4 linked regions of the Rhinolophus ferrumequinum genome follow. The protein of the gene in region 3 binds, or shares a complex with, the protein of the main gene of each other region. Links are inferred from orthologs where the notes say so. Each region holds a gene or a part of one and is shown on either strand. Other genes may lie near its edges. The genes, in order: CETN3, CETN2, NUP214 and NUP85.

Region 1 (7,144 bases), on a different chromosome or scaffold from region 3:
GACTGGTAAAACCCTGCAGCAAAATTCCATTTTCCTTTAGGGACCACAAAGTCATCTGTGTGGTGTTACTTTGGAAATATATGAAGATACAGTTCTCCATCACAAATTGATGACCCTACAATTTTTTATGCAATTACCTTACCTCCAATCCCATTCTTTTAATTTGTGTGCTTGTTTACTTTGCTTAATGTAGTCTTTGCCATACAGAAATGTTTCATTCTCCTTTAGTAGGATCTGTTAATATTTTCTTATTGCATTAGTCTTCTAGGACTACCATGACAAAATACCACAGATTGGGTGACTTAAACAACAGAAACTTATTTACAGTTCTGGAAGCTGGAAGTTGAAGATCAAGGTGCCAGCAGAGTTAGTTTCTCTGGAGGCCTCCCTCCTTGTCTTGCAGATGGCTGCCTTCTTGCTGTGTCCTCACATGGCCTTTTTACTCTGTGTGCGCACATTCCTTAGTGTTTCTACCTCTTATTTTAAGTACATAAGTTCTGTTGGGTTATGACCTCATGAAACTTAATTACCTCTTTAAAAGTCCTATCTCCAAATACAGTCACATTGGAGGTTCAAAATTCAACATATGAATTTTGGGGAGACACAAATTTGTTAAGAGAAAATGTGAGAATTTTAATTTCAATTATATTAAATGTACAGATTAATCTAGGATATAATCAACATTTTTACAATATCAAATCTTCCTAACTAGGACCTTCTTGGTTAATTTATTAAAAGCTCATGTACTTTAGTATTAGGTTGGTGCAAAAGTAATTGTGGTATAAAAGGTTAATAATAAATGCAAAAAACACAATTACTTTTGCACCAACCTAATAAAATTTTGTGATTTTTCTACCTACTGATCCTACAAATTTCCTGTTAAATTTATATGTAGGAATTTCATATTGCTATTATTTTATGATGTAAATGCTCACTGATTTTGCAAATTTTTCTGAAAACAGCTACTTTATTGAATTCTTTTATCAATTCCAATAGTTTGATACTCTTGGATTTTTCCAGGTAATCATATCACCCACACATAATTTTATATATCATATCTTTTTCTTGTTTTATTACATCATCGATTAGAAGTTCAAAGATAGTGTTGATAACTGCTTTAATAGTGCCTGTGGCAGAGCTGCTAATCCTATCTTATTTTTAGTTATTGATGATCTGACCACAAATTTTAGCAGGGCACATGGTTTTACAGCTAGAGAATTTTTTCCCCAGTCTCCCTTATAGCAAGGAGTGGTCACTAAATCTCACTAATAAAATATGAGCAGAAGTGATGCATGTTCACTTCTTAGTCATTCCCCTAATAGGAAATCCTGTTGAAAACATTTTAGTTTAACATTTAAAAATCAGTTTCCCTAAATTATTTTCTTATGAAACCCATTCTTCATGAAATGACTATATCTCACAAAATTCTAGTATTTCATGGATCAAAACTGAGAAACACTACCATTTTATTAAGTATATTGTTCAATTTAACAAAGTACCTTCTACACCTGGTTTATTAATATACATTTTATTAGGAATAGATGTTGAATATTTCTAGTGCCTTTTAGGACATTGAGATGATCTCCTTAAACTACAGTTATGATTAATTAATATAGACTTCTATTTTGAATTATCTTTGCATTTTAAAAATACATCCTATTTGGTTATAGTTCCTTTAAGGCAATACCAAATTGATTTTTGCCAACATCTAGAATTTTTTACACATATGTTCACTAATTAACATCAAACATGAGCGAGGCACATACAATGGTGGGCAACATGCCCACATTCTCAACATGGAGCATACATTCAGTAATTTTAAATGCTTTTTAGGATGCTAAGTGTTATGCTACCTTCAAAAATTAAGCTAAGATGCTTTCTATCATGCTTTGAGTTTAAAGCACAATAATCAGCTTTTCAAGGATTTTTAAAACTTATCCATAAATCTGACTGGGTTCAATGGATGCCTTTTTATTTTGTGGTACAGAACTTTGGCATCATTTTTTCAGTCTTATCTATAGTTATTGACTTAATTTAGTTTTCTGGTCTTTTTTTTTTTTTTTGAGTCCTTATCTTTGTTTTCCTTGAAAAGTGACTTTCATTTTGATATTAATATTTATTGGCAATATTTCAATAATTTTGAAACCTCTTTTAAACTACCAACCTTATTAATGGCAGTATTCCCTTGATTGTTACACTTCCATAAATGTCAATTTTATTGGTATTGCCAAGAACCATGTTATGAGAATACCCTACACATTTATTAACAATTGTCTTTTTAAAATTTGTGTTCTAATTCGTTTGTCATTATCTTTAGTAATTTCTTCTCATTTCAAGTAGTTGATTTTGTTCTTCACTTCTAACTACTTCAAATAAATACCTGGTTTATTTTCAATTTTTCTTATTTAATAATTTTCTTCTACAGCTTGGTCTATGCCTTACAATTTTACTATGTAGTTTTTTCATTGTCATTAACTTCTAGTGTGTAGAGATGGTCCATGACTAAGATGTTTCAATTCAGGATATTCAAACTTTATGATGATGTGAAAAGTGATGTGCATCCCGTAGAAACCATACTTCAAATTTTGACCTTTTCCAGGGTAACCTATAAGCAGTATGATACTGTCAGGAGGCTGGACACTGGCAGAATTCTGCAGCTCCCAGTCAGACAGGGAATCACGAGGGTAAACAACTAATACTCTACAGTGAACTTCATTGTCAGTGTTTTTTTGGATATCATGTTCTGAGCACAGTTAATGTACAGCAGACTAAGCTATGATGTTCGGTAGGTTACATGTATTAAATGCATTTTCAACTTAACGATACTTTCAATTTACCATGGGTTTACCTGGATGTAACCCAATCAAAAGTTGAGAATCATCTGTAATTGCAATTTTACTTTCCTTTTAAACTCAAAGGTGATTTATAAAGGTACTTTAAAATGTAAAGTTTTCTGCTTTTGTTTTTTTGGGGGGAGGAAGGGAAATGCTTTAGTTATTTTCAGCTTTATTCGATCATACTATCTTTACTTGTTCCAATTTAGCTCATCTTCCTAGGCCTAATATATATGTAATCTGCAAGAAGTCTTTCTTCTACCCTGCCTGTTCTCTCCCTTCTCTAAACCTTTATACATATCACTTTATACGCACACCATGGTGTTTATATATTTTCCCACCGCCCACCCCGCTAGATCTTCACCCTCAGGCTCTTTATTCCTTTGAGATTTGTAATTTAGTTCAGCACTTTGTGAGTTTTCACAGCAAGACTCCACTCAATGAGCAAGTATTTATTGAGCACCTACGTATGCCCCATTGTTAGGCACTGGGAAGAGCATTAAATGAAAGATATAATCCTGGCCTTCAAGAAATTCAGCATAAGAGATGAACAACTAAACATATTAAATACCAAGTGAACTTCGAGAGACTTGGTGTGGTAGGGGAGATAACGTGTACAAGCAGCTTACAGCACTGGAAATAAAGGGCAAAAGTGAACAAATCCGTCCAAAGGAGGAAGGGGGGCAAAAGGGTGTTTAGATACAGCTTCACCGTAAACAGGTTAATAATCCAACACAGTGATTATTCACATATATATAATCCATAGAACCTGCCTCAGAATCACTAGGATAGTTTGTAAGGAGAGAGGGGGAAAAAAAAAAAGCTGATTCACAATCATTGGCATCAGAATGGGGGTAAGGGGCATTTAAATTTGCGTTTTAAACAAACTCCTGTACTTAGGCCTTCCAAGTTTATGGAATACAGAAGAACTAACTTTCGCAGACCTCTTCCCAGAGGACAGCCTGCAGCGTGTCTCTTCTCTTCCCACCCTTTCCTTCCCTCGTCGCTGTCCGTCTTGTCTCCGGACAATCGCCCACAGTCCAAGGCCACCTCCCGCGAGGTGAGGGCCACCCACCCATCCCCGGGACCACCACGCAGGGACTCAAATCCTCGCTCCGCAAAGGATTCGGGGAAAACGCAACGGGCCAATCTAAAGCGCGAAAGAAACAGCTGGAGAGGCCCGCGGAGAGATTTATTTGATTGACGCGGAATGTGCCCAATGAGAGCAGAGGACTAGTGATGCCTCCACCTCAATGGGCATGGCATTAGCAATTTCAACCAATCCGGCTCGGAAGTGTCTACCTTGTGGGAGGTCCTCAAGGCCGCTGAGGTCGTTGGTGTGTGTTGAACAGCTTGTGGAAGTCGTGCTTCTTTGGGTAGGAGGTTAAAGTCGTTCTTGAGAGGAACGTCTCTGTCCGAAGAGAAAATGAGTTTAGCTCTGAGGTCGGTAATGAGGAGGCGGGAATGCACTCCACAGCCCGCAGCGGGCCCCAGGGCGGGTGTGTGTGGAAGGGAAACAGTTTGGGGCCGAGGCGAGGAAGGGGTTGCAATTTGGGAAGAGGGAAAGGAGCCTCGGCCAACCTTCCCGGGCCCGGACTCCTCAGCCTCCGAGCCCAGGTGTGCTGCAGGTGATGAGTCCAGTGCATTTCTGCCGACGTGGTCATACCTGTTAGCGCCTTGGCTTTTGGACCGCCTAAGAGATGGCAGCTGTTTTAGTTCCAAGGAGGCAGGGAAATATCGCGAGGTTTTTAGCGTTTCTGCGAGAAATCAGGCCCTGGAGCATCTCTTCCTTCAGTTCCTCCTTGGTATACGGCCCCCACCTCAGCTGCACTGCTCCTGACATAATGTATATTTTGGAAATAACAAAACTCCTTCTTGCTCTTCTCCTGGGGCCCTGATCTACGGTTATTTGGAGACCCCAATTACCTACATTTCTTGAGTTTCTTTACCTTTCATTCAGTTCCACCTTGTAATCCTCTGTTGGTTGCCCCCTCCCCTAGCCTCATCTACTGGGGAGCCAAAAAATGTATACACATGACTTGTATTTATGTTCAGTTATTGGTATATATTGAGTATTACAATTTTAATACAGTTTTTTTCCTTTCTTAAAATGTGTATACCTTTTTTGGCAACATCTGGAGATGTTTTACCTTAAAAATAATTATATAGTTACACCACTCTTAAAAAGGTGTTGTGTTCTGCTATGGGATAATGGTGGTATATCTTTGGATGGGGTCAGTTGTCTGTCGATTGTGGACTTGGCAGCTTTGAATCGTGGGAAGAAAATTACTCCAGTAATGTTCAAGCTGGTGTGAAGTCTGGGCTCTTGTGAAAGATCTTCAGCTTTATCCTACCTCTTCTAGTCATCTCTTGCCTTTGTTTTTCTTTTTATAGATTTCAGAGAACACCTTCAAATGCGAATAGATCACGTGTTCTAATAAAATCAACTGGGTTTTACATTTTAAAGTTTTATAGAATTTTCTGTTTTAAAACTGCTACAAGTGTTGCAGCCCCATTTGAAAACTTAGAACGCTTAGGTTGATTGGCATCTCTTAAGGAAGACATTTCTGGCTTTTAAATTTCCTTTTAAAAGTTTTTTCCAGAGTTTATGAGAAATTAAATCTACATTTACATGTTAAGTGAGACTTGACCATTGACTCTTCATATTATTATGTAGAATTAGCACAAATTTTATGTAACTTTTGGAGTTTAATAGTAGTGATATCTTTAGACTCAATATTTTGACTTATTTGTTAATGTCGGTGGAAGAAATTATAAAGCGCCAAACTTAGAAATGAGTAATCTAAAAACATTTCTAACCTACAATGCCAAAAGACTTTTTAAGTTAATTGATAAATTACACGTTTTTTGATAGTAATTTTGATAACAATTATAAGCACTATCAAAAGTAAACCAAGTATATCGTGATTGTCAATTATAAATTTTACTTTCTTTTTTAAAAAACACTTTATGTTGTAGAATGATTTGAATAATAAGTATGTTTTTTATAATAAATTTGTTTTTTTGTTGGGGTTTCTGACATAAAGGAATGTTTCTTATTCACAGTTCTTGCTTTGTCCACAGTAACATTTGTGGGAATAAATACAAAGCTAGGAAGAAGGAAAGTTAGGTCCTCATTTTTTATTTTTTAATAAGCTGTAGCATTATTAAAATTTTTTTTAATAAGTTTGGGGAAGTGCAAGTTTATAGCAGCTCAAACTATGCAATGATCAAGGCTTTGACTCATGTAAGGATACTTTATCAGTCTCCAGATACATCTTTTAAGAAATTTAGAAAATTATTCACTGGTTAAATTTTTTGGTTGCATTTTTGAAATCTTAATCATCTACAGGCATTAGGAGAATAGGATTTAAATAGACTAAATAAAGTGCACTAAATAGGATTTAAGTGGACTAAACTTTATTCTTTTCATTTCATAGAAATGAACTTGTAGTAGACAAAACAAAGAGGAAAAAAAGAAGAGAACTCTCTGAAGAACAGAAACAAGAAATCAAAGATGCTTTTGAACTATTTGACACCGACAAAGATGAAGCAATAGATTATCATGAATTAAAGGTAGTAGTATACTTTAAAATGTAGTATATTTTTTTCTGTAAAAATGCTTTGCATTTTTGACAGTTGGTTAAAAATACATTTCTAAATAAGTATTTTAACTAAACTGTTTTGGAAATTTGAAACCCTTTTAAACATTCACAGTTAAGTGCTATAATAAAATTGAATAGTACTCTAACATATTCTAAAATAAACTCCTTTTCATGGTAAAATGAATAGCATTTTAAATGTGAAAAATATATTGCTATGGAGGGGCTTATTTTTTTATTTGCATAATTGAATTTTTTCAAACTACAGGATGTAAGCCGTTTTTACTGTATTCTTCTCCCCACTTTTTTTTTTGAGACGTTCTTTTTTCCAGTTGGGGGAGTGTTATTTATCTTTTAATTTGAACATTTTCGTAACAGTTTCAACCTACCTTCTCTGGTGCAAACAACATACATGATGTGTGATGTTGACCCAATGATAAATGGGGAAAAATGTCTCCTTTAAGGCTTAGAATTACTTATAAAGATAACGGGAAATTAGTGTTTGGGTAGTATGGATCTGACACTCAGCACAGTGAAAAACCTTTTTTGTAGCTCTTTAGCTCTTTTTCCAGCTTTTTTAAGTTTTTCTTTTATAATGTCTCTTTCATTTGTTGCCACTGTTTTTATCTTGGTTTGGGATCTTATTTCATACCTGGAGCTTCCTAAATGGTTTCTCCATTTCTAGTTCATCTTGTACACTACCATTAG
Region 2 (7,061 bases), on a different chromosome or scaffold from region 3:
TTAAGGACATGACGCTATGGGACACGAGAACCTTGGGAAGATTATGCTAAGTGGACAAGCCAGACACAAAAGAACAAATACTGTACAATGAGTACTCAAATTCACAGACAGAAAGCAGCATGGTGGGTGCCAGTGGCGGGGGGAATCGGGGAGTGACTGCTTAGTAGCTATAGAGTTTCAGTTCTACAAGATGAAAAGAGTTCCGGAGATGGACAGTGGTGATGGTCGCACAACACTGTGAATCAACTTAATGCCACTGAACTATACACTTGAAAATGGCTAAAATGGCCAATTTTCAGTTCTGTCTATTTTACCACGCATACACTTAGAAGAACAGCTCTGGATGGAAAAATAAGACCCCAAAGAGCAATGTTCTAAGGACTGGGCTTGTTAAGGTTCACAAATCAGAAGCCTGAAGTCTTTCTCCTTTAAGACGGTAGGTCTTGGAATCCATTAAAAACCAGTAATGCATGCCCTCTTACACACACTGGGACAAAGTCTTAGGCGGAAAGGAATCTAGGAAAAGAGAACCACCTTCCACTGGTGAAATCCGAATGCCTCGCTCAACTTCTGGGCAAAAAGAGGAGGGCCGCTAACAGAATTCGATGAAGAGAGGAGCGAGTGAACCCAATCTCCTCCTTCCTGCTGGGAAAAGTTCCACATTACTGAGTCCCGGAGACAAAAGGAAGGGATAGTCTGTCCATTTCAAACCAGAGAGAGAAAGACGAGTGTTCCCTCCTTGTCTTTCACAGACCTGAGGTATGTGCAGGTTTCTGTCTATCATTTGTCTCTCTGCTTGTCTATTCGCTTGTATGACAAGTGACTTTGAATTTGTGGTGGCCACGGAGAAACCCATCAGCATGACTGTGAGCTTTAGCGTATACTGTTCCCTCCCCTCTCTGTGGTAAGACCTTTCTCATCCTTCAAGGCCTAGCTCCACTGTCACCTCCGTAAAACCTCCCCCCTCCAGGAAAGCTTAGCTACTTCCTTAGCACCTGTGTCTGCTCCCATTCTAGCACATCGCACAGGATTATACTTTTTTCCCCCCATATCTGTCTTGGCCCACTAGGCTGTGAGCGTCTGGAGTGCCAGCAAAGAATCGGGAATGGAATCTGGGTTGAACTGTGCTGCTGCGGCTGGTCTAAGAGGCTTCATCTGTAGAGCAGTAATCTCTCCTGCCGTCCTCAGAGCTGCTGTGGGGCCCAAACAAGCCCCACGGGTTAGAGCGGAGATGCAGCTTGTGAAAGAGCCTCAGGGTATCAGCTCGCTCATTCCTACATTCCATCATTCACAGGGCACCACAAGCCGGACACCGCCAAGCAGAACCTGCGTTAACACAGGGAGCTCGCCACCTAGCGTGGGAGACACACCTAGCAGAGCACTGTAGAAGTGCCCCTGAGCTCTGCTGAGGATAAACCCAGGTCAGGGAGCCTGTCCCAGAAGGCGATCCCTGAACTGAGCTCTCAAGGCCCCAGAGGAGTGAGTTAAGCGGAGAGGGTGGGTGCCCGGAAAACATTCCATGGCCCGGGGTGGGAAGGATGAGGTGACAGAGCACAGAGCCAGCATGTCTGGCAACTACGACAAGCTGTGTCATGGCAAGTGTGAAGCAAGATTGGGAGCAAAGTTGGGGAACACGCAGGGCTGTTTGTCAGGTTAAGGAGTTACCCAAGGAGGAGATGGGGAGCCCCTGGAAGTTGTAAGCAGCGTGAGTGAAGAGATCAGAAATATCCCTCTGGCTGCAGTGTGAAGGGATTTTAGCCATGGCTAAGCCTCCAGCCTCCAGGTAGGTGGAATGACAAGAACAAATCAGAGAAGAGAACTGATATTGCCTGAAAACCTGCTGTCAGGCCCTTGTACATATGACCATATTATACCATTAAGATCCAAAAAGTATCTAGTTAGGGAGACAGTAGTGGTCTCATTCAATAGAGTCTCAGAGAGGTCAACCAACTTGCCCAAAGTCACACAGCTCCTATAGGCCAAGGTAGAACTTGTGGTGGTTCCTTCTCCTCTGCCATGCTGCCACCTGCAGTCTGACTGGGAAGTAGGGTGTGGAGGGACACGATGTTAGAAGGACTAACGGGCAAAACAGGGCAGGCGGCTCGGATGCCAGGCTGAGTCTGGACTTTACTCTGTAGTCATGGGAAGCCACCGAAGGTTTAAAAGCATGGGGTGACCTGGCCAGAGCTGTTCACTGGGAAGATTAACCTGGCAAAGCAGGGAAGACTAGACAGGTGAGAAGCAGGAAACGGGGGGACTACTCACCAGTCTTTCAATTGAGATTTACTGAGCACCTAATATGTGCCCATCACTGTTGCTGGTCCTGGAGTGCTAGCAGTGAACAAAACAAAGATGTCTGCCCTTACTGAGCTTACCTTCTACTGGATGGACAATAAAGAACATAGCAAATAAGTAAAATATACCATAGGTTAGAAGGTGATAAGCACTATGGGGGAAAAAGCAGAGCAAGGTGGGTGGGGGCCTTGGGTGTGCTGGGGGCTGCAGTGCTAAATAGGCTGCTTAGGATGGCTCACTGAGCAAGGACCTGGTGCAGGGAAAGAGGTGGACCAAGCAGGCAGAAAAGGCACAGCCGGCGCAGAAGTTCTAAGATAGGAGTCTGCCTGTGCATTTGAGGCCCAGCAAGGAAGCCAATGTCCCGGGGCTGGAGGAGCCAGGGGAGACGTGGGGGCATGTCATACCAGGCCTTGCAGACCAAGGGGAGAACTTGAGCTTGAACTAGTTGGGAGTGGAGCAACAGAGGTGGAAAAGAAAATAAATGGCAGATAAGGGGGAGAACTGATAGAACTTGGAGGCTGGTTAATGGGGGAGGGAACAGAAAAAGAAAGGATCAAATATAACCAAAAGGTTTGGGACCTGGTTCGTGCTCGAAGGGGAAGAGGGCAAAGGGCAGAAGATCGGTGAACATTTTCATTTAAGGAATGCTAATAAACCTCAGGCCTTTCTTGGCCTGAGAAACTTATGCTGTGTCCCCTGCCTGCCTAAATACTGCCCCACTGCCCAGAGGGGAAGCAGGTAAATGCTGAGAGCCACAGAGCGCTCTTAGGCGGGGCGGACCTGGGCCTGCAGCTCCACTGCCGCAGCTCCATTTCAGCCCAAACCCTTGCACACGCCCCCTTGTAATTCTCCAAGCATGCCTCACACTTCCAAAACTCCTCTGCTACTTTGCTCATGAAGGTATCTCGGCCTGGAATGCCCTTCCTTTTCCGCCTTTGACTGGATGTCAGAGCATTTTGATGACCTCTCCCCCTCATGCTCACTCGTATCTCCTTCACTCCCTTCAAAGTCTATTCACCTTCCTGGGCTGCTTTTAGCTAGGGGAGAACTCAAATGATCCTCTCTTGGAACGTGGTCTGGGGGGCGGATGCTCTCAAAGGGACACCCTCAAAGAGCCACAGCTGGATTCAGCTTCTAAGTTTCAGCTGTCCGGACCTGTGCCACAATGCTTGCCATGTCCCTTTCCTTTTTCTGGGTCTCAGTCGCTCTGTGAGTAGCCGGCGCTCACCACCGCGGACACACTCCGCCGCCCATTGTTGCTACAGCCGACGTACACACACAACTCAGAGCAGTTCCCACCGACCCGCGCGGGCCGCCGCGCTCTCCATAGGTGACCTGTAAAGTTATGATCTTCTCTGACTCCTCTGAGTCCCTCTGACTCTAACTCAGTCTTAGGCCAGAGCAGAAAGCCCCGACCCGGATCGCCCCACCCAGCCCCTTGCCCTCCCGCCCAGTTGCCTACATAAGGCGGCCTCCAGGGGCTCGGAGGCGACACTTACCTGTCCCTAGATGTCCCACTGACCGGCCTCAGCGCGCCCGCAGCCAGCACCCGCCAAGCTCCCGCAGCTCGCCGCCCTTTTCTCCCCGCCCGCCTGAGCTGATGATCGCCCGACGGTCCTCCACTACCCCGACTGGCTCGGCTTGGCGTTGGCTCAGCCAATCAACTCTCGCGGCGCGATCCAGCCCAATGAGGCCAGGGCTCGGCTGCCTGAGCGCGCTCCCCGCCCTGATCCGGGCCTTTGTCGGTGTACTCCCACCCCCTCCAGCCCTGCGCCAATGGTGAGCGGCGGCAGCGAGCGGGTCAGTGCGCGCGGGTCGGTGGGAATTGCGCCCAGGCTGTGTGTACGTCTGTTGCCGTAACAACGGGCGGAGCAGTCTGTCGGCGATGGTGAGTGCCAGCTGCCCTGTCGCGCCCCTTGCCCAGAGGCCGAGCCCTTCTGACCCCGCCACCTCTCCTGCACCGTTCTCGGCTTTGGTGCGCCCCTGCTTCTATGATGTGTTTCCCGGAAGGGCTGGGAAGAGATGCCAGCCACCCTGCTGGGCCTGTGATTCGCCACTGCCTCCCCTGCACCCACAGCCGGCCCCCACCCGCCCTTCGGGCTCCCCTGGCCTTCCCTGCCCCCTCGGTTACCGGTTCCTGGGTGAAGAAGACTCAGGTTCCCCGCAGGGTCTGACCCCTCTCAGACCGTGGTCTCCTGGCCGCCTTGTGCGACCAAAGTTTCCGCACAATGCCGGGGGCGGGGGGGGGGGAGGTTTACGACGTTGGATTGTTAACTTGCATTTTAAATTTTAAGTATCGGGCCATTTGGGAGACGCATTGAGCTTTTTGGGGAAAGCACAGATGAGCCAAGTGGATTGAATTTTATTATTCGATATTGACAGAATATGCATCTTAATAACTTAGTAATATTTGGCTAAATCTAGAAGTAGTCACAAAGTCAGAATACTTAGAGGGAAGCGGAGTACCGCGAGTGGGCATTGTAAGGACATTTCTAGAATTAGGATCCCCAAATTCAGGGAGAGTTTATTATCTGTCCAGTTATTCATACTCCGCTCCTTGGCTAGCTAGCTCTCTTTACGGATGATTTCAATAAGGGATGTCCTTGTTTCTAGAAACAATATAAAGAAGAGGAAAGGGATAGAGCTACATGGAAAGATTCTTTGTTTTGCCCAGTAAACCCTACTATCTCTCCAGTTAAGCAAAGCTTCAGGATTGGTTGGTATAAACTATTTTTAAAACAGATATGGTTGTCTCTAACGATTTTATGCAAAATATGGACTGTGGTACATAATATGGTGCTTATGTGTTTGTAAAATGTCTAAAGGCCTCGAACTTTAAGAAGGCAAACATGGCATCAACTACCCAGCGAAAAAGGATGAGTCCTAAGCCAGAGCTTACTGAAGAGCAGACACAGGAAATCCGGGAAGCTTTTGATCTCTTCGATGCTGACGGAACTGGGACTATAGATATTAAGGAACTTAAGGCAAGCCCTGTGCAATCCTACTCGCTGCCTTGCCTTTCCTCTGCCTCTTTGGCTTTTTTCCCTGTCACTGCTCTACCCCTTCTGCCCTCTTCTCCCTGCAAAAAGTAACAAGGGGAGAATGTGCTGTGCTCTGTTTTCCTGTCTTTACTTACCCCAAGTGTTATTAAGTAAAATGAGTGCAAATATCAATTTGCTTAATGCTCCAGTGTTTCCCAATTATTTTCATGTGATTGTGTCAGGTGCTGGCTTAATGCTCTCAACATTCATTTTTGCTCCTGCTCGGTTTCGATGAGCATATTGAGATGATCCTCTTTTCATTGTAGGTGGCAATGAGGGCCCTGGGCTTCGAACCCAAGAAAGAGGAGATCAAGAAAATGATAAGTGAAATTGATAAGGAAGGGACAGGAAAAATGAACTTTAGTAAGTTTCTGACTGTGATGACTCAGAAAATGGTAAGTTAGCTAAGAAAATCAGCATATTTCCCACCCATAATGGACAAATTTGAATCTCGATATGAAAATGTCTTCATTGAAGGAAAGTTAATACAAACTAGAGAGTTCAGCTGATAAAAGATAGTATTTGTGACTGAGAATTAAGATGTTTTTGGTTCTGCTTGGCTTTCTTGAGGGCCACAAAATCACAGGAAAAGTAATTTTACCCTCTGTAAAGTAGTGAACGTATACTGCTGTCACATTTTTGCTATTGTCTTTCCCCAACTGAATTGTCAATGTGATAACCACAAGCAGTAAAACCTATACACGCCAACAGCATTACAGTGTCTCGCATTTTGATAAGACAAAGTTCCTATATTTTAAAGTTTGAAATTCTTTTCTTTCCCATTTGTTATTCTGGGCAGCCTTAGCTTGAGGATGTGTAACTTCAGCAACCATGCTTTTAGGCTGCGCTGGGGATTTGATCTTTCAGCACTTCCAAGGTTAAGTTTACCCATTCTCTAGTGTCTCCGGTGTCCCTCTTTTAAAGGGTCCAAAGGGTCAAGACAGACTATAAGATGTCACCCCAGCAGCCCACCTCACTGCCCTGTCATCCCACCCAGGAAGTATGTTTCCATTGGGCCATTGCTCTTTCTTTGGCCTCCTGGCTCTTCCTCAGTGTGGCTCACCTGTGCTCCACTGGTCTGTCGAGACAGATACTGAGTAGTAACTCCATCAGTGTCTCAGGTGTGTTTCACAGGGCACAGATCGGTTCCTACTCTAATAACTCTGTTGCTTTGAAATCATCTAATTATACCTATATTTTTCTTCATGGACTAACTTAAGAGATCAGAAAGCTTAACATTCTGTCACTACCTAGTAAAGCTGTCCCACATTCAAGGGTGTTCCCGAATTGCTCTTATTAGGGGTTCTCTCTATCTTTAGCTACCTTTCAGGAATATTGGGAGTTTGAGCTTTTAGCGATTTTCCTCTCTTCCTCTGTTGGAGGACTTGGGATCCCAGTAACGCTATATGATCTCATCACAAGTAAAACAGCCTTCTCTTTGCTTCTTGACCCCTCCACCAAGAGGATCCCTCTTCCATCAGCTTAAGGAGTATATTCTCCCCGATGTGAACTCCACCTTCTTCTGTATTTTAAAAACGAATCCAGTTTCTCTTTGGTTTGTACAGAAAGAATGATGTTTGATCTCCTGTGACCTAGGACCTCTGTCATAAAGACCACCACCATGACCACGTAATGATGTAGGGGCAAGGCAGAGAGGCTAGGCGCTGTGGGGCTACAGGACTAGTCACTGCGGTGTTTCCCTACTCATATGTTTTATGTTCTACT
Region 3 (7,665 bases):
GAGCTGGAGGTGCAAATCTGGATCTCAGAGATAAGCTGTTTGTGGACTGTCACCCTTTGGATGGGATGTAAAGCCAATGACTGGAAGAGCCCACCCAGGGAGTGACTACAGATGGAGTAGGGCACTGATGCTTGGAGCAGCTCCCGACGTCAACACTTCGGGCACCCCCACTTCCGGATGGAAACACAGCATCCGTGGGGTTAAGTGTCTTCCTGGAGTCACGAGCTGGGACGGTAGCTGGGCTGGGACTCCAATCCAGGCTGTTTCCCTCCAGAGGCTGCACCATAAACCCCTGTGCCCTACACCCCCCGACTTGACCCTCGGAGCAGTGGGAGGTTTTGAAGCTCCAAAGGGGTTGTGAGCAGAGCCGTGGCCCAGCCTAGCTCTGCCTCCTCCAGGCAGCGTGGTTAGGGGAAGGTGCATGGCCTGGAAGTCAGAGATCTAGGCTCTCATCCTGCTTGGACTGCTTGTGGCTCTGAGGAGTCATGTCGCCACTTTGCGCCATTTTCTCCTCTGTCAAATGGGACTAGGAGTCCCTTCCATGCAGCTGCCATCCTAGGCTTCCGAGAAGATCCTGCTGGAGAATGGATGAAGGGCATTCTGCTGAGGACTTTGCGGACGTGAGGGCTGGGTGAGCTTTCCCTGGGTGAGGGGAGGAATCCTAATCTTGTTTCGTTTTGTGTTTTTTTTTCCATCTCTAAACCAGAGTCATGATGTTTGAAGGAAAGGCCACCGAGAGCAGTCCCAAGCCAGTCGGTCCCCCTCCAGAGAGAGACATTGCCAGCCTGCCCTGAGGACCCCGCGGGGACCTGTCCCTGCCCTCCCTGCCCCACCCCTCCCTCCTGATCTTGCTGCACTTCTGGACTCATTGCAATGTCTTTTTTTTTTTCCTGGTTGTTGGGCATGATTGTTTTTTCATCTGCAGAATCTGATCTCTTTGTAAAGCACAAATGATCTGCCTTAAAGGGGCTCTGGGGCCCCTCCCTCTCTTCTTCCCTCCTTCCCCACTCCCTGTGCAGAAGGGCTGACATCAAACCAAAAACCGGAAGTGGCGGGGCCAGGGCAGGGAAGCTGGAAGCCTGTGATCCCCACACTTGGAGCCGGCATTGTCCATCCTTGCTGGAGGTCACTGAGCTAAGTCCAGGCTCGCTGGCCTGGCTCTGGTGAGGACCTCAGCCCACTTTCAGAAGACCCTGGAGTAGGGACGAGGCTGCAGGGCCTCACTAGGGTTTCCTCAGATGCTCTGAAGTTCCGGTGCTCTCAGGTTGTCCAGGACGTGGCCACTCACTGCCCCAGCTGATCCCCGCTCGGGCCACACTTCTTCTCGCCCTTAATGAGGTGCAGAAGGAGACAAGGAGAGGGGCTTGGTAATTGGAGACCCTCAAGAAGGTTCTGGAAGGAATCTTCTGGCCTTACCCCTTGTCCACACCTTCATAGACAGCTCAGAGGGAGCCCTGTCCCTTGCTGGGGCAGCAGAGGGCTTCAGAGGTAGAGGGGAGGCCAGGGGCCTTGGGGAGCGGGGTTCAGCTCAGTCTAGTCCCACCTTTTAGGAGGATGCTGAGGGCAACAGGCTAGGGGAATGAGGAATAAAATGTTCACGGCAAAAAGTCAGCACCACTGTTAAGCCAAGAACTGAGACACAGGAGGTTGCCTTTCTGATCCCAGTCTGCTTGAAAACCGACTGCTTCCCCCACGACCTGCCCAACTTACTCAGACCATTCATTTACTCAGTCATTCAACAGATATTTATTGACCATCTATTATAAGCTTTAAGGCCGGCCCCCTCCACTTTGTCCTGACATGTGCTGTGTCCACTGTCTCTAACTCATTTCCCCATTTCCAAATCGCCCAAAACCCTTGAGCATGGGGATTCCATTGGGGTCACCTGTGTCCCTTATTATGGACTCACAGGGTCTTAGAGGTCTGATCCCCCTGTAGGTTAGCTGGGCCAGTCCTCACATTTCACAGGTAAGGAAACTGTGGTGGCCCCCAGGGATTAAGTGCCTGGCCCAAGGTTAGGAGTTAATCGAGATGGAAGAGTCTGGACTGAAGCCCAGGTGTTCAGATGGCCTGCCCGTGCATCACCTCTGCTCGGGGCTGCTTCCGTCAGTGAGGAAAACAAGGGAAGGGGCAGGGCGAGGCTATTTCCTAGGACAGCACTTGGGGCGGGGCCTGGGCCAGGACTCACCTTTTCCAGTGCCTCTGAGTTAGCAGCAGGATCAGGGGACAGGCCAGGCCTGCCTCTGCGGTTCCGCCTTCCCCAGGGCTTCTGAGCTAAGCCACTTCTCAGAACTCACGCAGGAAGCTGTCACACTCGGCCCCATCTTGGCTGAGCAGGGACCCCAGCCTTGACCGCACCTGTGTTCTGGAGCCCCTTACCCTGCCTGCTCAGGACTTAGAAGCAATCATCAGTTGGACATATTTGTTAAGCACCTGCTATGGGCCGAGAGCTAAGAACCCAGTCATGAAATAGACAGTTACGTGAAATTTAAGAGCCTAGTGAGGAAGTCAGACTCGGACAAGGACGAGTTAGATGAAAGGAAAGGGGGGCCATGGGGTGACTGCACTGCAATCCTGGGGAGACCAAGATGGGCTCAAGACTGAGCAAGAGCCTTGCAAAAGCATTTGCCAAACCTTAAGTGGAAATGTCTGGGTACTGTTAGAGCCACGGTGGGCTCTCTGTGGCTCCTCAGTGACCCACAATCAAAGACCCAAGGAGCTGCCTTACAGCAGCTTAAGGGAGTGGAGCAGGTCGGGGATGGGGTAAGGGCCAGGCTGGGATAATTTGCTGGTCTCAACCAGTTCAGGAGCAAGACTACCTGGCCGTGGCTGGTTGGTCCTTAGGCTAAGGAGCTGCTCAAATGCACAGGCCTAGTTGAAGTTTAAACCCCAGCAAAACAGTTTTCCCTGTAAATGTAAAATCTCACCCCACCCCCTTCCCTGCCTTGGTTTTTTTCCACCCGAGATCATTATTTGAGCAACTGCCTGTCCCCACCCCTTCCCACTACGTCTCCTCTCTAGGACACGACGAGACCTTTGAGCAAGGTCAAGTCTTGACTCCCCGTCACATCGTCAGTGTACTTGGTCCTCACTCAGAGAGGAGGGCACAACCAACCAGGCTTATTTTCCACAGGTTCCCCAGTTTACAAGGCCATGGGAAGCCTTAAGGGGGAGCGAGTGGGTGTGTCCCCAGCTTCTGGAAAGAGCAGGACAGAGCGTTCATTGGATAGGAGTATCCTGGGACACCACACAAGTTCCTTTGCCATTTCTTGGAACTCAGCTGGTGGAGGGAGAGGGGCTTGAGTGGTTTCTGGAAAGGGGGGGGCGCTGCATATATTTCAGGTTGTGGCTGTTGGCCCTGGGACTCTTACTTCTCTGGCTAAGGGCTCATTTTCTTAGAATTTCAGCTATCTCTCTGAAAGACCAAATCTAACTAATGTAACCAGAAACTTGGGGATTGCCAAGTGTGGCTTTGTCCCTGCAACTCAAAAGGAAGGAGTGTGTGGGGCAAGTTCAAGTGGATGCAGTATGTGTGCGCGTGCGTATGAGAGTGTGTGGTGCCAGATACCATCTCTGCACACTGGGAATAAAACAGACAAACTGTCAATGTCTTGATTGGTGTATTTGGGGGAGGGGTTCTGGGACTCAGCAAATTCAGGAAAGCTACCTGATAAAGTACCATTGAACGAATGCGTCCTGTGTAGCAGGCTCTGTTAAGCTCTAACTTCATTTACTTCTCACGACCACCCCACGAGACAGGTTGTTTGTCATCCTCGTTTTACAAATGAGAAGCAGCCTTGAAGCAGATGCGCAATTTGCTGAAAACCAAACAGTCCGTGGCAGACTATGGCCCCTACTTCAAGTTAAGCACCTCTGTCCTAGAGCATTTAAGATATAAATCCACTGCAGCAATGCGTACATAACAGTCATCAGTGAGCACCCAGACAAGCTGAATTCTAATCCAGCCTCCACCGCTTTGCGACCACGGGGCGCGGGGTGGTTTTCTTACGTTCCCTGCTGCTTCGTCCCCTCGTCAGTTAAACGGCAGTAATAACTCCTGGGGGACCAGGACGTCTTCAAGAGTAAAGAACACATCCAAAGTGTGTTGCGCTTTCCAGGCTCTTGCTTCGGAAATGATTACCTTGACAGGAATAAACAAAGACGACCTCTGGTGCCTTTTAACCTCCCCTTTTTCAGCGTTCGTGCTTAGACGCAGAAGTCTCCCGTGGCGAGGCCCCAACCCACGCACTTTCTGAACCCCTTTTCCTCCACAACCCCCTCCAAAGCCTCTCTCAAGAGCTTCCCCTGGAAATATTTATCAAGTCCCAACTTCTCTGAATCAAGAACTATTAATCGCCACCTCCATCCCAAGGTTACTGTGGGGTCTCCACGGAACACTGAGCGTGGAGCGCTCAAGCATGCGCAGTCCGATGGAAAAAAACCCAACACCAAGCAAACTCGTTCTGGTTGCGGACGCGGGGGGCGGGGCCTGGACGCTCCAGGGCGCAGGCGCGCGGGCCGAGCCGGCCAATGGGAGGCGGCGGCCTCGGGAGCGCGCGACTTCATATACTCCCTCAGCCTCCTCGACCCGCAACGCCCACCGAAATGCGTGACGCCATTTACGCGCGCCGGAAGTTCGGGCCTCGCTGCGCGCCGCTAGCGCTGAAGGAAGGAAGTTGGCGTTGGAGCGGCCTGGGCTGTGTGGGCAAGGCCGCGGGCAGCTGCGGCTGCTGCTACGACCAGCTGAGTCCGGCGCGATGGGAGACGAGATGGATGCCATGATCCCCGAGCGGGAGATGAAGGTCAGATACTGGCCGGGGCCTTCGCGTTGCCTTGGAGCCCCGCTGAACGGCGAAGCGCGGGTGCCGGCTGCCCCGCCTCCCGCTTGAACTTTCCCGGCGTTCAGAGTTCTCACCTACGCGTCCTGGAGCACTCTGCGGTGCCGCCGGCGTGTTCGCCCCGCCGAGTGCAGTGTCCCCTTCCCTGGGTGGTCTTGTGCGCTCCACCTCAGTTTCTCTAGCTACTTTAATATGGTGGTCGGAGTAGCGGTAATAATTGCTGTTTATTGAGCGTTTACTGTGAGCCAGGCACTGGGGTAATCACACAGCAACCCTACGAAATAGTTAATATAAAGATGCAAGTCAAGGTTCGGAAGGTAACTTACCCAAAATCGCATTTGACGAGGAGGCTGTAATGCAGGTGTGTTTTGTAAGACCCTCTCTTCACTCTCATTGTCTTACTTCTGTAAGGTTCTCCGGGCTTGTCTGATGCAGAGCCGGGGTTCATCACCTATCCTACAAAATCTAGTTCGTTAGAATAGGAGGACTGTTCTGGTACTGGAAGTCTGCTTGAAGTCGGGAAACTAAGGAGAGGGGCACGTGATCCCAATGATGTGATGGTTACAAGCACCTGAAAGGGAGTAAGTTGCGGAAGATGTTAGGCATTCGAACAGCAAATCACTGAAATACGTTTAGAGAGTAGTGACTCTCTCTTCCTTCTTGAGAATCACTGCCTGAGTGAACCACCCAATGAGAAGGTGCCGTATTCCTCAGACACGCTGGGGCTGAAGGAAAAAAGGTTTTAGAACCACAGACTTAGAAGATGGTAGTGTCCCTTTAAGTTGCTGATTACAACAGAAAGGAGAGCACTCTGGTGCCTTTTCATCTCACTGGCCCTCCACCCCATGTGACCAAGACCCAAATAGGATATTTGGGATTATCAGGATGAGAGTCACAAAAACAGACCGAAAAATTTTATTTTACTTCTGTTTGAAACCATAGATAGTATGGTTTCACCTGGAAAACTATGTGTGTGTTTTTGATCATCGTGCTCAGTTGGAATTAAGAGTATTTCAGTTAATCTTTTAGCAAATGTGCATTAAACATCGAATCCATTGGAAATTTGTATGGGGTGTGTTAGGGATCCTGTATGAAACACCGTAAGTGTACAAAAGTGAAAGCTGATAATGGCTCTCTTTCGCTTTTACAGTTTTGGAATGTAAGCAAAAGGGGATTTGCAGTCTTTTCACCCAAACCTCAACTTAAGGATAGGTATATAATTGAAGAAAAAAAATTCAACCACATATAGCACACCTTAACATAGTGATTTGGTAAACTTACGGAACTCTTTTTTTACCAAGAGGTTCTGCGCGCTGAAAATTGTCTTTGGAAGCATGTAGATAAATTCATGGAAGACTACGCGAGTCGGGCATTGACAGGAGGTTGGGGAATGTTCCCAGGCCCTGAGTTACTAAGGAGCCTGAAAATGGAAGGAAATGAAAACTGGATAGACATGGGGCCGGGAGGTGGCAGTGGATGTGGCAGAGGTGATGTCGCACGCACTTGCAGAAGGGAAGCAGTGTTGTAAGGTGAGGCTCCAGAGGCGGATGGGTCAAGTCGGCCTTACAGCCTGTGTTAAGGATTTTGCACCTGTGTGTAAATGTCCTCATGGCATCCAGGTGTGTTTTCAGGTCTTGAACACCAAGAGATTGACCATGCATATCCTTTTTGTGTTTAACATTTGATGCAGGTAGGTCATTTCTTGGGATTCGGTTATCTTTCTGTGGTCATTGTTTACACACACACACACACACATTTGTTGAGTACTGCAGTAGAAGTTTGAGCCTACAGTGTAGTTGGATGATGCTTTGAATATTTAACAGCTTTTAAAGCACTACTCGGTCATGAGACAATACATACCATGAACTAAGACAAGGTAGTAAATAACAAAGTGCAGCTTGGATGGTGGTTAAGACAATAAACTAGGAATTCAGAAAAGGACAAGGTCACCGTGAGTTGAATTAGTCAAGGATAGAATCTTTAGAAATTTATTCCATTGAATAAATATTAATAAGCGCTATGCCACGTACCACAATACGCATGGGCAGCTTATAAATGGCTTGGTCATACAGTCCTTGGTCTCGGGAATAGGTGTTTTGGTTGTACTGGAATTGGATCTACTGTAATATGATGACAGACATGATTTAACTTCCTGTTTTCCCTGAACTGATCTTGTTTTGATCCCTCACAACAGGATTTTCAGTTTAGAGCACTGAAAAAAGTGAGAATCTTTGACTCCCCTGAGGAGTTGCCCAAGGAGCGCTGCAGTCTGCTTGCCCTGTCCAACAAGTATGGCCTGGTCTTCGCTGGAGGAGCCAGTGGGTTGCAAGTTTTTACTACTAAAAATCTTCTTATTCAAAATAAACCTGGAGACGATCCCAATAAGATAGGTAAGTTACTTGCTTTATGTTGCATAGTAGAGAGAGGAGTATAATGAAGTGCTAACGTAGTTTCCTTCCCGAGAAATCATTCTAATATTAAAGTTAAAACTGCTGCCAGTCCTGAGGTTGACCCCCAAGAAGAGTAAGTTCTAGGTCGGAGGCTGGAAGCCTGTCTGGTTGTTCTCTTTAGTCCTTTGTATTTCTCTTTCAATGAGTTGTTCCTCTGACCTCAGAGGGAAGGAGAATGGACCATTCTGCCATGTATTTATTTTTGCTCAGTTGAACTTGGGTTCCCTGGCTCTCTAAGGGAAGGGTTTTGGGGCACGGCCTTTTCGTTGGCTCAACACTACCATCTAAACAAATAGGAACGTGTATTATTGGGAGCATTGTTGCCAAAATATGGGTGCATGTTGGCAATATTGTGATTTACAAGAAACACATATTTG
Region 4 (7,454 bases), on a different chromosome or scaffold from region 3:
GTCTCATTCCTCTAGAAATCTAATAAAATATCAATAACGTGTTACAAGTAGAGAGTAAGAATAGGGTGAATCATCCAGAATGTACTCCTCAGGGTCAGGTGTCAAAGAAAAAACATCATTCTTAAAAGGTACAGGAAAACAAGAATCACTGAATCTGTTTAGAACTTGAAATCCTTGTCAAAAATCCCCGAGAAACACATGAACTGAATCTATAACACAGATGTCTAAACTGTGGGTAGTTTATCAAATTTCCTTCAGGTTCTATCTAAAGTAAGCTGAGAACTTGAGCTGTCTCTGTGAATACTGCAGGAATATGGAATACTGAATTCCTGAGTACAGCAAGAAATCTGGAGGCAGAATGGTGATGTCGTAGAAACCTTCCAGCTTTCTATTGCTGGGTCATGGCAAAGAAGATGGGGCCCAAGTTTCTGCCAGCAGTCAAAGCCAAGAACCTGGTATGAAACGTATGAACACATTTGAAATGTGTCAGCTGGTGTATAAAATGTAGGGAAGTATCATCCCATTTCACAATACCATACATTCATTGAATGTACACATTGCACATACTTACAGAAGGGTCCTTTAAACTTTTTGAGAGCAGGGATTATTGTTTTTCATCTTCATAATCTCAGCAAATAACTAAGTCCCGAGAGCTGGTGATCAATAAGAGTTCACTGACTTATTGATGCAATAGTAACATAGTCCTTATCATGAGAATGCCAAAAATGCCTAAATTAGGGTTTCTGAATTCCTGTTAGTTATGTAGTCTTTACATTGGAATGATGATTTCAAGTTCTTCTAACCCCATTAATGCTCCAATCTTACTTCTCTGTCCATTACTAGATTCAAGTAGGTCTCAGTGACTCAAGGATGTTTGTTTCATAGAATGAATGAGAACAAACTGAACTAAGCTTATATTCTGCAGCTGTGCCAAATATAGATAATATTTGCACTCTTCAAGTTCTTGTGATTGATTACTCCCCACTGAGGTAGAAAAGATAGAGTTGGAAGGATGGTTCTTAAAGGATGGTCCCTTGGGCAATATCACTTCCACTTAGAAAGGTCAGGAGGACAAATACCTGAGCCCCACCCCAACCTACTGAATTAGAAGCTCTGGGGACAGAGCCCAGGAATCACTCAATTAATGGTTTAACAAGCCCTCTAGATAATTATGAAGTTCCCTAAAGTTTGAAAACCACAAGGCTAGAGCAGCTTTTACACCTTCAATAAGAAATATGTCACATATTTCTCAACTTGAAGTCTCATGTGGCCAGATATACATTAGTAGGACTATAAAGCAGGTTTTCACAAACATGGTCTTATGTAGTATCTCTATATGTATTAAAAACTTCAATGAAACATTTTTTAAATAAAAATTTTTACTTCATATTCCCATAACACCTGTCTCAATTTTATTTTCTAACTTTTATCCACACGTAAATTTCTTTACATTAATTGTCGAAATATACAATTTTTCGTTTGCTCTTAAAAACTGAAAATTATGTGGTAAACATGCCTACTTTTTCTGATTTTAAGAGTAATAATACTCATTTCTGCCAATCTTTTTCTCTACATATTATTTTTTACAAAATTGATAAAACTTTTAACAAAATTTTACTACATTTTACCTTTATAAAATTTTGCTACAGTTATCTTTTAATGATTGCACATTAATTTTAATGATTGCTGTGAGACTTTGTTTTTTGGTTATTCAAAATGTCCCTCTTATTTCCTAAAAATACAATTATGGAGACAAAAAGGTGAACATTTTAAAATTTCTTGAAAGACTTTCCCATATTCTTATCAGTCTTCATAGTTCTTCTCAATAGGTGAATATCTCACTGATATATTGTCTTCCTCTATTCCTCAATGGATGAACATCTATGACAGTTCTTAGCACGGGTGATTTTACCCCTAGGGGATACTGGGAATATCTAGAGACATTTTTGGTTGTCAACAATCATTAAAAGGTATGAATGGTATCTAGTGGACAGAGGCCAGGGATTCTGCAAAACATCCTGTAAGGCACAGGACAGCTCACAATATAGAATTATCAGGCCCAAAACGTCAATAGGGTGGGATTTGAGAAATTTTGTTGTTATCTATATAGCACTTACCAAAATTCACATACCTTTTGTGTTTTGAAATTATTAGAAATAAAAGTTCAAGTGAGGACTTACTGGATCAAAGTGCATAAATATTTCTATGGCTCCTGATAATAGATTTCTACCTTGTTTTCCAAACTTATTATGTCTCTTGAAATGATTATGTATTTATTTCTCTGCAGGCTACGGAGCATTGGTTCTACTAGAATGAATTAAATGCATCCAATTAGCACTTTACATATGGCATATCTCTAGCACAGTTCCTCTGGCTTCATCTGAGAATGATTCTAAGTTTGACTTTGGAGTGATTTAAAGTAAGTTCTAGTTTGACTCTTGTGCGATAGGTATGTTTTGTTTTAGGAGATTTTTGATTCCAGAAATATTATACTCTTTCTGTCTTCCTAGGGTTCTGATATACCTCAAGTTGAAGTGTCTCCTGCATGATTGAAGACTCTCCAGAGTAGATACAGGAATTCCAGAGTTAAACAACCACTCTAGGGAGAGGAGGAGGGAGAGTGAAAGGAGGGGGATAAAGGGGGAGAGAAGGAGCTTGTGAAGAGGTTAAGAGAAAAAGATTTGTGTACTGGTTATTTTTTTTTTTCCCAAATGTATTCCTTTAGGCTCATCTGTTAAAAAAAAAAAAAAAAAAAAAAAAAAGGATAAACTACTTCATTGAAACCCCATTCTTGGAAGACTATTGAGAAGGACCAGAAGGAAGAAAATGATCTATGTATAGAATAATAACTCTATTAGCTGTAGTTTTCTTTTTTTCCCCAATTAATGAATGTATTTGAATGATTGTGTAAGGTTGCTTGTATATAATGGTATTAGAACAAAGAATAGTTTCAATACTTTTTTCCAATATTATCTATCGCTAGGTCAGTTTCAATACTTCTGTTATCTTCAAATGACATTATGTCAGTCTTAAAATATCAAAAAACTATACTACTAAAATTTTCTAAGCTCCTTTGTTGTTCAAATTATTTTTTTCTCAGGTCTCCTTTAGAGAAGATGGTTTTTCTTTTTGGTCTTTCATCCTATTATTTTTTTCCTTTCCTTCTACTCATCCTGTTCCCCAGAATAATTAATAATTTTCTCTGAAGGAAATTAGGCATATTTTCTATCAGTGTCTTAAGCTTTGCTTTAACTTCTGCTGCTCAAATAATTTTGAGTCGCCAGAGCAGATATAATAACTAGTTTTTTTAAACTGATCTATTTGCTACTGTTTATTTTACTTTTGTAAAATATTAGGCCTCTTTTTACCTCTTAAGGATAGGGACATAAATGCATAATTTCTCATACTTCATAGCCACACTATTGGTGCCAGAACACTTGGATCAGTGAAAATGTGAAACATTTGGAAAATGCACCAAGCTATAGATGGTAGAAGTGTGGAGTTTTGTGCAAAACTACATTAAATGTCATCCTATTGATGGCTGTCTTAAGAGATAAGGATTTGGATGAAATTGTGATAGCCACAGGATTTTCCTTCCTGAATTTGTACCTAAATAGAAAAAACTGTTGGTGTGAGATTTTCCTAACCACTCCAAGTCATCTCATTTCAACCAATTCAAATAGGTCATTCAGAGTAATCTCAGGGAAAGAACTGTTTCCCCGGGTAAAAAACTGAAACTTGATTTTCAGATCAAGTATCTTTCCCCAAAAAAAGAAGCTGTTACATTTTCAGGCACTGTTTCCTAAGACTTATTTTTTAATTTCGAATTATCTTCAGTTAGTTAAAAAAAAAAAAGTGCTTATTTGGGAATGTAAAACCAGCACTATTCTCTTCTGTGTGTGTGTGTGTGTGTGTACGTATTTGTAAATATGGCATTTACAAAATAAATAACTCCTTTAAGTTACTAGAGCACTAGTAACTTAAATGAGTTTCCCATTAACAAGACCGGGATTCTCTGACTGTGGTTTTTTTTCCTTTTCCTGCTTTTCTTTGGTGAGATAACAAACCAGTATTTGTGTTGAGTTAAGCAAGCCCAGCTGTCCCGATTTCACAGTTGTCGGGCTGCATCACTTTTGTCCGCGTGCTGCTTGAGCGTTTTGGGGTGGGAGTTGGCAGCGACTGCCTCCGTCCACAAGCCCGATAGACCGGGGATCCCTTGCCCTGGACACCGCTCACAGAAGCGGCCGAGACAACACTGAGCTGCAGACTCAGAAGCCGCAAGGAAAGCCAGAGTGGGGACAGGCGGTACGCTCGCTCGAGCCCGGCCCCCGCCGCCTCTCCACGCAGAGTGGCCACCCCAGCCCGCGCACGCGCAGCCGCCCCGCCACCGCTCCCGCCGTCTCCAGGGGCTTTCTCCCCGCCCCGCGTGGGGCTGTCCCCGGCGGCGCCTGATCTGGCGAGAAGGTTCCTCTGAGGATCGGCTGCCCCTGGCGCCGGTTTCCCTGACGTGTTGTCGAGGCCGCGAAGGAAGAACACGAGTAGAGTGCCGTAGAGGGGTGGCCGTGGCCGAGAGGAGACGCCCCTGCAGCGTTGGTGATCTGGGCCTGCAGGCAGTGCAGGAGGGGGCTCGGGTCGGGTCCTCTCTTGCAGCGGCTCTGAGCGGGAGGCCCGAGCCGGGAGCTGTGCTGGCCTCGCGACCTCCCGGCAGCTGAGCTGCGGCGCTATGGAGGAGCTCGATGGCGAGCCGACAGTCACTGTAAGGGCGCCCCAAAGAGCCTGGTTTGCCCTCGCGGCCCAAGGATTGAGTCTGCTTCATCACTGCAGGCTTGTCTACCTCCCTGCCTCCCGGGAGGCGCCCGCCCCCTTCTCTCAGCTCAGTTGCCACCATCCGGAGGTCACATTAATTAGCTGCCCGTGTTTGGATCGCAGTGGTCGCTGGGTTTCTGCTGCTTCGTATGCTCAGAATACCTGGCCCCAGAGGCCTCACTCCGTCCCTCTCCCTCCCTCGTCTTTGCGCCTTTCTATTCCGCTCGCTTTTCTCGTTGGGCTAATGCTCTAAAGAGCGCGCTTGGACTCGGCAGAAGAATTGGGGCTTTTTTCCTTCCAGCCGAACTTAGCTTCACATCGCAGCGCCGTGAGCTTGGCTTCTGCTTGTGCTGCGCTTGCCTAAGGTTTACTAAACGAATTTATTCTCTCGGGGGACTATCTCCTTTTTATATTTTGCTTTCAATTTGATCTGAACTCTGAAGACAGTATGTCAACTGCTGCAGATCCAGGATTTTAAAAGAAATTCATAGCCTGTAGATATAAAATACCTACCGTTCCCCCTGCCTGGAATGCTCGTTTCTTCTCTCATCTCCAGCTCGTTTTTTAAATGCAAGCTCCGGCAGCTTGTGTCTTAGGAAAGCCTTCCCTAACCTCCCTAACTACGTCCGACACCTCTACCCATTGTGGGCTGCTTCTGCACGTCTTAGCTCTGGAAGCCCCACTAAACTGAAAGTTGCTATACCTTGTGCTTTTGCTTTCTAGATAGTTGAGATGCCTACAGTTTTTAGCCAAAGACATCAGATTGCAAAGCAGTGTCCGACAATACAAAAAATTGAAAATAGGGGTCATTTCAAAGCTGACTGGACAAAAGGAGGCATGAGATCTTAAATAGCAATTAACATGGGTTGTTATGCTCTTTAAAGCTTACTGCTGTAGAATGTTCCAATTTAATACCTATACAGAGTACTTTAAATATTAACTATCCATCAAGGACTGTGTCAGTGTTTGTGGGAAGACAAATTAGAACATCAGAGTCACTGGAACTTTTTCAAACTTTCCCTCTCTCACTTGTGTTAGACTCCTTGGGTCGGGGGAGCCTTCCTAGTACCCTGTGGTGCCCTGGAGAGCCACTGCTTTGATACTGTGCCTTGATAAAGAGCTTCATTACAGATGGAATGAAGATGATCTCAGCTTACTTATTTTTATACCCAGTAGTGATGATGGACTTGTGATAACCCCAGCTCTATATTCGTGCTGGGGAGACCAGGTAGAAAACTGGTTGGCCTCATGGGCACACACAGGAGGGGCATTGTAGTCCAGAGTCTGAAGCTCACCTCTGCGAGTTTAAACGCTGTCATGTCTGTTTTTGAGTGTTCATCTGCCTTTGGGGTTTACTCTAAACACATTCTCAAGAGACTGATGAATAATTGTGAATACCATTAAGTCACCCTTTATGGCAGTTGTATCCGCTTTTCACACAACTGCTCCCTATTGTCAAGGCACCTGAAGTCCAGTTAGTAACTGGCAGATTCGAGGATATTTAAATGTAGATTCAAAGTAGGTAGAATAATCTTGAGTAGTTTTTCTAGACCACTGGTCTTCTTTTCCTTTTGGTTCAAGAGCTCTTAAAAAGTGTAAGTTACAGTTTTCATTGTCTTTTTTGTTTTGTTTAATTCCAGATACATACCTAAAAGGAGAATTGCTGGGTTATAGGACAGATGCATATTTAGCTAAAATAAGCTCAGTTTTCCAAAGTGGTTGTACAGTTCTTTTTGCAGCAGCAAAGTCTGAGAGTTCCAGTTGTTTCTCATCCTCATCAATTCTTTGTATGATCAGTCTTTTTAATTTTCATTTCCATTCCAGTGGGTATTTAGTGGTAGCTCGTTATTTTCATTTGTATTTCCCTAATGAGTATCTTTTCACGGGCTTATATGTCATTTGTATATCTTCTTTGGTGAAGTGTGTGTTAAAAATCTTTTGCCCATTTTGTTACTGGGTTGTTTCACTAATGAAATGTAAGAATTCTTTATATATTCTGGATATCAAATACGTGTTTTGCACATATTTTCTCCCAGTCTACGGCTTGCCTTTTCATTTTCTTAACAGTATCTTATGAAGAGCAAAAATTTTAATTTTGTTGAAGTGCAGTTTATACATTTTTCTTATGCTATAGCTTATGCTTTTTGTGTCCTATATACATCTTTGCTTACTTTCAGGTCAGAAAGATTTTCTACTATGTTTTTCAAGTTTTATAGATTTTGCTCTACATTTGAGTCTGTGACTAATTTTTAGTGAATTTTTGTCTATGGTGTGAGGTTCATTTTTGCATATGGATACCCATTTGTTCCAGCACCATTATGTACAAATAATGCTTCCTCCTTGCCCGCCCTACTCATCCAATACGAGTCTGCTAAAACAGATTCTGTTCTGTGTGTACCTCAGACTTAGCATACTTCCCCTTTTCTGACTGCCTGTTTGTTTATTGGTCTCCGTCAGGAGACCACTAGCTTTTGGAGGACACAGACTGTGGTACACATTGTTGTATTCCTAGAGCCCAGCACAGAAAAAGGCTTAATACACATTGCTTAGTTGTTGAATGACCGCGTTAGCCTTTCCTAAGAACTGAATGCACTTAACTTGTCTTGAGACAAGACTATTGACGAGACTATTGCCAGCCAAATTCGTTG

What was found.
Region 1: NUP214 (region 3) and CETN3 share a complex: the UniProt entries of both Homo sapiens proteins name them as parts of the nuclear pore complex. The link is inferred for Rhinolophus ferrumequinum from reciprocal best matches to the Homo sapiens genes NUP214 and CETN3.
Region 2: NUP214 (region 3) and CETN2 share a complex: the UniProt entries of both Homo sapiens proteins name them as parts of the nuclear pore complex. The link is inferred for Rhinolophus ferrumequinum from reciprocal best matches to the Homo sapiens genes NUP214 and CETN2.
Region 4: NUP214 (region 3) and NUP85 share a complex: the UniProt entries of both Homo sapiens proteins name them as parts of the nuclear pore complex. The link is inferred for Rhinolophus ferrumequinum from reciprocal best matches to the Homo sapiens genes NUP214 and NUP85.

What each region holds. Positions count from the first base shown.
Region 1 is NC_046290.1:59,221,849-59,228,992, reverse strand, and holds the start of CETN3 (centrin-3), read left to right. Parts: upstream 1-4,138; 5' UTR 4,139-4,260; coding exon 4,261-4,277; intron 4,278-6,274; coding exon 6,275-6,410; intron 6,411-7,144. UniProt on the Homo sapiens protein: Plays a fundamental role in microtubule-organizing center structure and function. As a component of the TREX-2 complex, involved in the export of mRNAs to the cytoplasm through the nuclear pores.
Region 2 is NC_046284.1:7,308,819-7,315,879, forward strand, and holds the start of CETN2 (centrin-2), read left to right. Parts: upstream 1-4,043; 5' UTR 4,044-4,180; coding exon 4,181-4,183; intron 4,184-4,913; exon of another isoform or gene 4,914-5,011; intron 5,012-5,120; coding exon 5,121-5,279; intron 5,280-5,602; coding exon 5,603-5,731; intron 5,732-7,061. UniProt on the Homo sapiens protein: Plays a fundamental role in microtubule organizing center structure and function. Required for centriole duplication and correct spindle formation. Has a role in regulating cytokinesis and genome stability via cooperation with CALM1 and CCP110.
Region 3 is NC_046295.1:79,177,418-79,185,082, forward strand, and holds the start of NUP214 (nuclear pore complex protein Nup214), read left to right. Parts: upstream 1-4,643; 5' UTR 4,644-4,757; coding exon 4,758-4,802; intron 4,803-7,032; coding exon 7,033-7,228; intron 7,229-7,665. Other genes in the region: AIF1L (allograft inflammatory factor 1-like), read left to right, coding at 707-794. UniProt on the Homo sapiens protein: Part of the nuclear pore complex. Has a critical role in nucleocytoplasmic transport.
Region 4 is NC_046304.1:50,237,889-50,245,342, forward strand, and holds the start of NUP85 (nuclear pore complex protein Nup85), read left to right. Parts: upstream 1-4,451; 5' UTR 4,452-4,723; coding exon 4,724-4,756; intron 4,757-7,454. UniProt on the Homo sapiens protein: Essential component of the nuclear pore complex (NPC) that seems to be required for NPC assembly and maintenance. As part of the NPC Nup107-160 subcomplex plays a role in RNA export and in tethering NUP96/Nup98 and NUP153 to the nucleus.